Linked DNA regions of Drosophila melanogaster. The protein of the gene in region 2 purifies or fractionates together with the protein of the main gene of each other region. This does not show direct contact. Each region holds a gene or a part of one and is shown on either strand. Other genes may lie near its edges. The genes, in order: Nipped-A, Gcn5 and Atac2.

What was found.
Region 1: the proteins of Gcn5 (region 2) and Nipped-A purify together in Drosophila melanogaster (affinity purification with western blotting; 4 studies listed by BioGRID). This does not show direct contact.
Region 3: the proteins of Gcn5 (region 2) and Atac2 purify together in Drosophila melanogaster (affinity purification with mass spectrometry; 4 studies listed by BioGRID, with this or other methods). This does not show direct contact.

What each region holds. Positions count from the first base shown.
Region 1 is NT_033778.4:5,248,820-5,252,575, forward strand, and holds the start of Nipped-A (Nipped-A), read right to left. Parts: upstream 2,204-3,756; 5' UTR 2,147-2,203; coding exon 1,910-2,146; intron 1-1,909. UniProt on the Drosophila melanogaster protein: Part of the Tip60 chromatin-remodeling complex which is involved in DNA repair. Upon induction of DNA double-strand breaks, this complex acetylates phosphorylated H2AV in nucleosomes and exchanges it with unmodified H2AV.
Region 2 is NT_037436.4:12,522,008-12,525,763, reverse strand, and holds the start of Gcn5 (Gcn5 acetyltransferase), read left to right. Parts: upstream 1-1,749; 5' UTR 1,750-1,860; coding exon 1,861-3,119; intron 3,120-3,173; coding exon 3,174-3,756. Other genes in the region: eIF2beta (eukaryotic translation initiation factor 2 subunit beta), read left to right, coding at 87-610; ver (verrocchio), read right to left, coding at 679-1,323.
Region 3 is NT_033779.5:18,610,545-18,614,300, reverse strand, and holds the start of Atac2 (Ada2a-containing complex component 2), read left to right. Parts: upstream 1-2,051; 5' UTR 2,052-2,122; coding exon 2,123-2,532; intron 2,533-2,592; coding exon 2,593-2,744; intron 2,745-2,799; coding exon 2,800-2,974; intron 2,975-3,040; coding exon 3,041-3,756.

The DNA.
Region 1 (3,756 bases), on a different chromosome or scaffold from region 2:
TCCTGCTGGGCTTTTTTAATACGTAATCTCTGTAGTAACCCTCATACTCTATGGAAAGCGACTAAGGCAGTCAACATGCTTAATTTTTTCTGCGGCACGGTGTTCTACTGTAAAAGTGAAGTCTTGAATTTACATAATCCATGGTCCTACATCTCTCGGTACGTCTTGTTTGGTTGTAGTCTGCTAAAAAGCGACACAATCTGTAATGAGCTTGAACTATATTCCTAGCAGGTAGTGACGAAACTTCTTCATACCTATGTACGCTGCTTTGTCTTCTTAGTAATAGCTATGTCGCTTTCATTCGGCTTCGGAAGTCTTCCTGCTCCAATAATAAACCGGATGAAAACTGCCGTCCACCATCTGCCGCAACACAGCTCCAAATTCATCCTTTAAAGAGCCACTGTGTAGTTCTGTCTCTGCATCTCTTGTGTAAATTTGCCGTACGGGAATGTCTGAGTCGTCTTTTAATTGCTGTATGGCTTAATGTTCACCAATGTAGAAAAGTGCATCTTTTTTCAAAAAAAATTTTCAGCGGACGCGCGATTAAAGCATATCCTGGAACAAATTTTCTGAAAAATCCTGTTAGCCCCAGAAATGATTGTACAGCTTTAATATTTTTTGGCCTGCCACATTTGCCCACCTTCAATGGCATGTCCCAAAAAGTCAATGCGAGTTTGCAAAAATCTGCTCCTTTTCAATTTGAGGCGGTACTACGCAAACAGGTTCTACGGCGACATTGTAGATTGCAGCATAATCTCGTATAAACCATTATTTTCCTTATCCCGCAAAAAAGTATATCCATGCAATGTCTTAAAACAATGATATTTTTTCCCTTTTTTGATCGCACGTTTCGGACATCATTGGACAAAACTCTAGTAAAATTTATTTCTTAGATTTGAGATGTGAGGCGGGTGAATATAAGAAGGCACATTAAAAATCTTCTAATCCGTGCCAGATATAGCCACCGCCAACTGATGCAAAATGGAGTCATTATGGAACAGTATCATCCGTATCAGCGTAAACACTTAAAGCCTAACTTTGATGACATATTTTATTATATATGATTATACCCGTTGCTCGTAGAGTAAAAGCAAAAAAAAAACCTTTAGTTTACATTATTCGGTAACTCCGCTTTGGATACTGCTTGTTTGCATTAGGTGGAGTCTCCCTCTCTGCTTATTCTTTTATCTGAGAACAGTGCTGAATATGTAAGCAGGCCCCAGACAACATGGGTTAAGAAACTTCCGCTGATCAGGATCACTAGCCGAGTCTACAGAGACTTAGTCGCATGTTACCCCGCCGGCAAGCTGTTCAAAACACCCCACGCCCACATATTTGAGAAATCTGTTGAATTTTTTATTTTATGTGACTTTCAAATTTTTATTGGTTTGCCAAACATAATACTACCTAAGAAAACCTACGGACGTAATAAATAATAAATGTGTTTCAAATTTTAAAATTAATGAAGTCGACATCGATAATAAAAATATACTCTTTTTTTGCAATCAAAGTTATGCTTTAAATAATACTTCTTCTGGCAATGTATGCATAATATCTGCGCAAAACTTAAAGTTGCGTAGCACAAACACAATGCACGGTCGTTTTAAATATCAGAAACAGTGGTTTTCAGTTTTAAAAGATTGTTACTAGGGCACCGAAAGGTTTCCCTATAGTACTATATAGATAGCTTTACATAAATAAGTATATAAAATATATTAATAAAATAATTGTATTGTACAAACATAAAAGTTCCGATTATTGGGAGTTACAAATGTAAACACAAAATATTTTCAACTTTGCATTTTAAAAGATAACTACATATATTTAAGCCGAAATTCATTGACAGTTATTTCAACCAAACATGGTTTCTTCATTTAAGGCCCATGCAATGGTGAATTTTAAAACTTACGTGTTGCATTGTATTTTCTTGAATGAACTGAGGTTCGCCATCCTGAAGTATCCGCATAAATATTTTTAAAGAATTATCTAAGAACGACGGATATGCCGGACTTTGCATTATCATTTCAAAGTGTTCACTTAGCTCTTGAGTAGCTTTCAGCTTAAGTTCGTCTTTAGAAGAGGAATCATTTAAAATATTTAAATAATTCCGAAATGTATTCACCGGTACATTTTCAATAACCGACATTGTGCCTTTTAACTCGTTCAACAACTTGACCGCTGTAAACAAAAAGGAATAGTCGGAAATTGTATGACCGATATATTCGATTTAATTGTTTGTCAAGATAGCATATAAGAAATTTTGAAACAGGAACGCAAAAATATTTTAGAAATGCTTCAATTTTTTATATAATATAGAGCTCCCACAGAGATGCATCTATATTAAACCTTTCACAACCTTCAGTGTTAAAAATTGGCACGGAATTAATTCCATCTTATTTGCATGTTTACTGCAGGATACAGGCTTGTCTATCTTTAAGTTAAATTTAAATGTTTTTTATTGCTATTTTATTTCAATAACTGTGTTATTCTATAAATATTTACGTGTAGGGAAATCAACATACAAAATACTAAATAATGTGTATTGTTAGTGATGGATTTAATCACAAGAACATTTAGCTCCGTTTATTTGTGGATGTAGTAATAATTCGGTATAACTAGATTTTTTATTATGTTCTTTAATATAGTCGGTCGAAATGCTCGGATTATTACTTCAATGGTATAATAAATAAAGGAGTGCCAATATTTCAATATTCAATATTCAATATTCAATGGTGGGTCATATCGTCATAGATGACGAAAGAAACGGATAAACCAAATTCATTTTTTCAATAAGGAGCTAATCCAGCTTCATTTAGACTTATTTACCTTGAATTGAAGGCCTGTCAAATTACTTATGCCGAAACAAAAAATCATCATATTTCATTAAGTTTCTTATAACTTTTTAAATTTAAATAAAAACAATTTCGTTTGTTCATTTTTAAGTTTATATTAATTACACACAAAAAATAAAAAATAGTCAATACTACCATATCAAGCCATTTAAAAGTTTCACTGACAAGTGTGCAGCTTTTTTTTGTCAAAATACTTATGCCGACTAGTGTATATTTCAAAAGATCCCTGTGGCGGCCGGCATTGCAATCAACTAAGCATCGGAACGCGACGTTGACACCTAACACTCCAGTGCGGTCGATCGAGCGATCGAACTGCAAGACTTCTAATTATTGAAGGCAATATTAATAATATGACTTCAATGACTTCAACCGACAGCCAAGTGAACTGAAATAAATAAGCTGAGTAATGGTATAAGCCAAAGCATATTAAGAAAAGCAAGATAAAGAATTTTGAAGCCGAGCTCTACAGAGAGGAGCTGTGGTACAAGCCAAAACATATAAAAAAAGAAATTAATAAAAACACATAAACAAATAAATCTAAAAATAGAAGAAAAGAAATTATTACCAGCTATTAAGAAAAGAGCTAGGTAATTAATCTGAGTTCCATAAAAAAATAATAATAATATAAAGGTCGGGTGGAGCAGGCTACCCTCCGCAAGCCAAAGAAGAAACAACAAACAAACAAACGAAAACAACTAATCCCCAAATGTAAATCGGGGATATTATTGAATTAGGGATGGGTAATAATTACAAGACAAATTAAACATCTAATAGTTGTTTTCGTTATAAACCCCAACTCTAGGTCCCATATTGGAAATAAAACCATTGTCATAAAACCGTTTCAGTGCGAGGCGATCGACGGGCAACCCTCCGAAATGAATGGAAGAAATGGCTACGGGCTTTT
Region 2 (3,756 bases):
TTAAATAGACTCCAGATTTCAAAGCTCTCACTTAGCAAATAAGCTTATACCATACCCTTTTAAATAACGTTTTCATCCGTTTACAGACGAGGACAACAGCTCAACCTGGTTTGGCTCCGACCGCGATTACACATACGACGAGTTGCTGAAGCGGGTCTTCGAAATCATTCTCGACAAGAATCCGGACATGGCCGCCGGCCGAAAGCCAAAGTTCGTGATGCGACCGCCGCAGGTGCTGCGCGTGGGAACCAAGAAGACCTCCTTTGCCAACTTCATGGACATTGCGAAAACGCTGCATCGCCTGCCCAAGCATCTGCTCGATTTCCTGCTGGCCGAGTTGGGTACCAGTGGCTCCATGGACGGCAACCAGCAGCTGATCATCAAGGGCCGTTTCCAGCCCAAACAGATCGAGAATGTGCTGCGTCGCTACATCAAGGAGTACGTCACCTGTCACACCTGCCGCTCCCCGGAAACGATATTGCAGAAGGACACGCGTCTCTTCTTCCTGCAGTGCGAATCCTGTGGCTCCCGCTGCTCGGTGGCCAGCATTAAGTCAGGTTTCCAGGCTGTCACCGGCAAACGTGCCGCCATACGAGCAAAAACAACCTAAATTCTCCTTATTTAAAACTTTTTGAATTTTTATTACCAGTAAAATTTCAATACAAAAAACCAACGATACTATTTATTTGTTGTATTCTGCATTGTTTTATGCCTTCGTTGCCAGTCGGTTAGGTAGTCTACGAAGCCAATTTCCATATTCCGCGATCGGCCGCTGTCTATGAAGAACTGAAAAGCGTCCAGACCCATCTTGCCGCGGAACCTATTCGGACGACCGCGCAGGAATAGGCTGTGGCCCCTCGAGATGCGCGTGGGATCAATGTACTCCATGGAGACCTGCAGCAGCCGCATCATGCTCACGGCAATGCTCTTGTAGGCCTCGGACGAGGCCAGCGAACTGGCTTCACTGTACAGGCTGCTGATCACGCGTCCATTGAAGGGTTTTTTGGTGATGCTGGCCTCCAGGGAGCCGGTGCCATCATCGATCATGAACTTCATGAACGACTCGTTGTGCGTTCCATTGCCAGTTACAAAGGCGTAGATGATGCAGGTGCAGAAGTGAATCGGATGCACGTCGTCTGTGATGAACACATTCTCGTTCTCCGGATCCTGAGTTGCGCGCTCAATCTGGGATATGGTCAGCGGCACGTTGTCGTGGACCTCCGGACCACATTTGCCCGTGGACTTTTCACTCTGTTGATTCTTGCGTATCACGAAGTTATCCAGCTGGCTTTCTATGTCCTCGAAACTCTGATTAAAATCCATTCTATTTGCTTAGTCTGCGATTTCAAAGGGGATTTCTTTATTGCAGTGCATTTTGCATTAGCGCCAAAAAAAAAAACAGTTGTGAGCATGGGCGTAGACTTCGTATTTTCTTACAAATAATATTAATTAAAATTAATTTTGTGAGCAATTTTCACACAATTGTATTATAAGTTAAAACCAGGGTCACATTAATTTGCAGAACCGCGCAATATTTTCTTTTTAACCCCCTTACAAATTTTCAGTTGTTTTGACTACGCCCCTGCTAATTTTTACTTATTAAATTCAAAGTCTAAAAACATTGTCACCAGATAATACGAGTATACACTATATGGACAAACGTAAAATCGTTAATAGAATATATATATTCAACCATTATTTCACCACCGAGAGAAATTCATTTGCACAAAACGCCAGGTTGGCAGCACCATCATTGCGCACAGCAAGTGGGCAAACTCGTTGTATCGCTTGTGAAATTTAAGGAAAAGTACACTTTGTTCAAAACTAACGAAGAGAATCGCAATATCTGCCGATCTTGGAATGTCTGGTGGTCCATCCATAACGATAAAAAGCCAACCAATCGATGGTAACAACACGGGCAACGCTGCGGCGCAACAGCAGCAGCAGGCAGCGAATGGCGCAGCAACCGCTGGTGCATCTGGAGCCGCTGGCAGCGCCCAGAATCCAGGACACGGAGGAGCTGCGTCCGGCGCTGGCAGTGTGCCGGCAGAGGGAACGCGCCAGAACAGCCTACAGCGCATTCAGCAGCGAAAGCAAAAGGTCTTCAATCTGCCCGTGCCACAGAAACTGGCCAAATTGTCGATGTATTCCGCCTGCCAGTCTGAGGGATGCCGTTGCACCGGCTGGAAGACACCGCAGGAAAATCGCCACCGTGACGTCGAGTCCTCCTACTGTCCGGAGTTCAACGAGGAGTGCCGCAACACCAGCTGTCGCCATTCGCTGAGATCGCACATAGCCCATCTGGACAATATATCCAGTTCCAGCATGAACGAGCTACTGGGCGCCATTATAGACATGGAGAACCTATTCATGTCCATGCAGCGCGTCGAGGACGAGGACACCAAGAAGGTGTACCAGTACCTCTTCCGTTTGCTGCGCCAGTGCGTCCTCACGCGCCAGCAGGCGGTCATCCGGGGTCCTCTCGGCGATCCACCATTCGAGACGCCGTGCATCACCAAGGCTGTGCTCTCGTTGGTCTTCTACAAGTACAATCACCTGAGCACGCCTGAACTCCAAACCATGACCGAGGTGGCCAAGACGTTCTTGAACTTTCTGAACCACTACAACTTTGAATCGCCGTCGACCAGGAGAGGAGATCTCACCCACGAGGATGCCTCTAACTACAAAATCAACTACACCAGGTGGTTGGTGTTCTGCCACGTGCCCGCCTTCTGTAACTCCCTGCGCCAATGTGAAACGTCCCTAGTGTTTGGACGAACGCTCCTGCGCACCGTTTTCCAGTGCATGTCGCAGCAGCTGAAAAAGAAGTGCATCTCCGAGCGGGATCGCTTTCCCGAGGACAAGCGTTCGATCATCACGCTGATGCCGAAGTTTTTGGAAACGCTTCGCGCCGAATTGCTCAAGGATGATTCGCCCATCTGGGATACCAGCTACCGCCCGTCAAATTCCTTTGTCATCCAGCAGAGAAAGCGTAACCAGGAGGTGGCAAATGTACCCATTGGTCCCAGTGCAGCAAGCATTGGTGGAAACAAGAGGACCAGTGTGGGTGAACCGCTCCACAAGCGAATCAAAAAGGAGCCCACCGATCGTCCAAGCAGGTTGGTAATCAGTTTTTTCTTCTTTCAATACATTTACTAATCGTCCTGCCGCAGTGAGAATTTGGATGACCTGCCTGCGGATGTAGTAATGCGCGCCATGAAATCGGTGTCCGAGTCGAAGACCACCAACAAAGCGGAAATTCTCTTTCCGGTTAATGTGTCGCGGGATGAGAACGTCAAGGCGGAGGAGCAGAAGCGAGCCATTGAGTTCCATGTGGTGGGCAATTCGCTGACCAAACCGGTGGACAAGCAGACTGTTTTGTGGCTACTGGGCCTGCAGCTCGTATTTGCCTATCAGCTACCCGAGATGCCGCGCGAGTACATCAGCCAGTTGGTTTTCGACACCAAGCACAAAACACTGGCGCTCATCAAGGAAAACCAACCCATCGGCGGCATCTGTTTCCGCCCGTTTCCGTCGCAAGGCTTCACCGAGATCGTTTTCTGCGCGGTCACCATGTCGGAACAAGTTAAGGGCTATGGCACGCACTTGATGAACCACTTGAAGGACTACAGCATACAGAGGGGTATCAAGCATCTGCTCACATTCGCCGATTGCGATGCCATCGGGTACTTCAAGAAGCAGGGTTTCTCCAAGGACATCAAATTGGCGCGACCAGTTTATGCGGGCTACATCAAG
Region 3 (3,756 bases), on a different chromosome or scaffold from region 2:
AGAAGTGTAATAGAGATCCAGACACAATTACACCTGACTGCAAAGAATTTAACAATTATTGTTAAATTATATAACTTATAATGCTATTTAATCAAATATTCATCGAGCATCGTATATATTTTCTCAGTGCATCGGCTGGTAGCAGCCCCACTAATAACGCTAATGGCTTCGATTAAGTGACAGCCAGACGGCGTTTGTTTGCCCCTCACGATGGGGGGATGCCCCCATATCCTTCCCTTACTTTTCCCTTTGTGCCAGGACCTGGCCTTAAATCGTTCGGAAAACGGTCAAGCCATGGCCGTGGAGCTAAGGTGCAATAAGTCTGGTGATTGAGAGCAAATACGGTTGTTATGAACAAAATGGGTGGCCAAACAAATTCTAACCAGCATCGCATCTGTAAATGTCATAATCAGCTAGTAAACGACTATCCAATTTGTCAAGCTCTTTCCAGAAAATATTTACCCTCGAGCTTTAAGTGATTTATGAGTGAAACTCATTTTAACTTTCGCAAAACTAAGATATAGATATACTTTAAAACATAATTCGGGGATATACTTTTGGCTGTAGTAGCACCAACAAATTAATTTGTTTCACCATATTTTTCGCTCTTTTCGACTTGCCAGCGGGCAGTCGCGAATTAAATGAAAATCTCCTCGAGGCGCCAGACAAGCAAGTTGAAAGGAATTCAACTACAGATATTAAAGGCAGGGAAGAACTTGAAGTGCAATATTCAAATTGAATTGAAAACGATGAGTGTTGAAGTGAAATCGTAAATAGGTGCATATCCTGTAAGATGCACAAACTGCATGCTTTGCAGTAATAATCATTCGGCAAATAGAAAGTGATTTACAAAAGAAACAATTGTGGATCCGTTCAGCTTTGGTTCTCAACTGAATACCCCACTTAGCCGGCCTGCAGTTTCGACCATCCCACTTCAGTCCATAAACCAATCATGCACTTCATCAAACACACAACAACAGCAGAAGCAGAAGCAGAAGCAACAGCTTCGCCAGAACGCAGCAGCCGGCGATGCCTAATTAGGCCCGCTTAAGACAACACACTGACCGGGCCAAAAGCAATGGGGCCAGGTCCGATGGTCGATGGTCTGCCGGAAACAGCCTTAATTATGCGTAAGCCGTAAAGAGCCCATTAATGTCATTTTCGTTGCATGGCCAAAGGACGCTGGGCGTTGGGTGGTGGGTGGTGGGCGTTGGTACTAATGTGCTTGGTGGGCGTAGGGCGTGACAAACGCATGCTTGATCAAGCGAAACGGGACTGTACTAATCAAGCGGATTCTTATCTTCTAGATAGGGAGAACATAAAAAACAATCGGGATCTTTTATATAGTGTATATAAGGGCATAAGGATATGCTAGATTCGTTGAAAAGTAGGTAACTGGCATAAGAAATAACAAAAGAAAAAGTCATTCCCGACAGTATTAAGCATATATATGTAATCAGGATCAGTGGACGAGTCGATTAAAACGTGTCCTTCTGTTCGTCCGTATAAGCGCTGTGATCTCGGGAACTTAAAAGTTAGGAAGCTAAGATGGAGCAATCAGATTCTAGACATGTAGACGCATCACAGTTTGTTTCAGAAGAATGCCACGCCCACTCTAACGCCCACCAAGAGCTCAAAACTTTTAAAAAGTGTTTTGATATTTGCTTGCAATTTCTAAAAATGTGACAAGAAAATGTTGAATACACCTGAGAAGAGGGTATATAATATGCGAAGACCATAGCCTTGTCTCTGTTCCATATTAATTAAAAATGCTTATTTATGACATTTTAACAATAAAAAATTATTTTAAATTATGTTAATGCTGACATCTTCGGCATTTTAAAACGGCAATGTTAATAAATAAATAAGTGCTTAATAATAATATGTTTTGTAGTGCTTCAGAAAAGATCAATTAAGAATACAAATTAATTTTATTTTTTGTTTTCCCAATTCAAATTATTGACAAATTTGAACCGAGCACAGTGCGATTTTTTGGTATTTTCAAAATGTAAGCTTCTCATATATATGGTATAAACCAAAAAGTGCGAAACGGTAACACACAAACAACACATTATTTTGTTGATTGTTTTTAACTTGCAATTTGTGCTGTTTTACTGAGTAAATGAATCGGCCCAGTAACTGGGATGATCCCCAGGGACCATGCCGCTACTGTGAATCGCCGGTGGAGGACGACAACTACCTGGAGTGCCAGGAATGCAGGCGGATGGTTCACATCAAATGCCTGCCGCATGCTTGCACGCCCGGAGATCTTTTAGGCGACGTTTTCTTCGAGTTCACGTGCGTCAAGTGTGTGCTGGATAAAGCTAAGGAATCGGTCATACCCTCAGATCTAGAACCCATTAAGGAAGTGATCGTGCGCCAAAGGATACCTTGGCTGCTGGTGCTCACCCTAACGCTCTACAATCTGTCCATCAAACAAAAGGGCTTGGGACACCATGGATTCTTCCATTGGCGCACGCACATCATCAGTTTTGTGGACAAGAACTGGAACTATATATTCGGTCCCAATGTGTAAGTATTCGTAAATGAATAATTTCCGGAGAACACATTCAATTTATTCCCCTTGTTCAGGCGGCGTCGCAAGCAATGGACTGGTTCCGTATCCGGCGCACTGTCCCACAACAGTCCGGAGTACTTTCAGTCTGGTCTGGATGTCTTTCAGGAGAACGGCTGGTGGAAACTGGCCAAGCCCTTTCAAACCCCAAGAAGCGTTCTCAAAGAATGTAAGTGCCACTTAAGTTAATGATATGATAGATTTCACAAGTCGTCACATTTCAGATGAGAAAAAGCAACAGTTGCGGCTACAAATGCGTATTGAAAAGCGGTTGCCTGCAGCGGACGAGACCAGCTGTAGCAGCGAGATCTCAGTGGCGGATCATGCCCAGGATAACCCACCGCTTATTAAAGCAGAAGCTGAGAAACCCAGTTCAACAGAGGGCTGTGCGCGAACAATGTAAGATAATTAATTTTGAATACAACTATGCGTTCCTTTCATTAAAATCTTTCACTTTTATTCCAGTCCCTACATGGGCCGTTTGCCAAAGATACAAACACAACCTTCACCCTTGTCACAGGAAACGCTTCCAGGGCCACCAATTCTTCAAGAAAATATAGCGCCACCAAGTCAGAAGGAGGAAGAACCACAGAATCAGCCTATGAGCATGGTCCAAGCAGGCCTGATGGATTTTCTGGCTGAAAGTTTGGAAAGCGATGATTTTACCATGTTTGGTAACCTACCAGGCATAATGCCCCCACCCCTGATTGGAGCGGGTAAAAATGATTTCTTCATGACCGAGCCGTTGCTTCACGCACCTTTGAATAATGAAGGTCTTTTCGACATGGATACAAATTTTGCCATACCAAATACCGCTGATGAGACCAAACCCATATCAACAGAAGAACCTGCAGCCGAAAGCAGCGAGGAACAAAAAGAAGGCGAGGTAGAAGATGAAAAGCCAGAAGAGGACGAATCACCCGACTATCAGCCACGCATCGTACAGGTTACAAATTACCAGGCGCAAGAGGCAAACGAAAGCATCAAAGAGGAACCACTAGAAGAGATAATGCAAGATGATGACGTCACGACAAATAGCAAATCCTCTATCCTAGAGCCTTGCAAACCGAGTGGATTTGTCAGACAACCACGGCGAAATTGGCCCTGGTTGCAGGAGGCGCAGGATCCCGATGACATGGCCATTCCTAGCGAAAATCTCAAACTAATAAATGCATACGAAG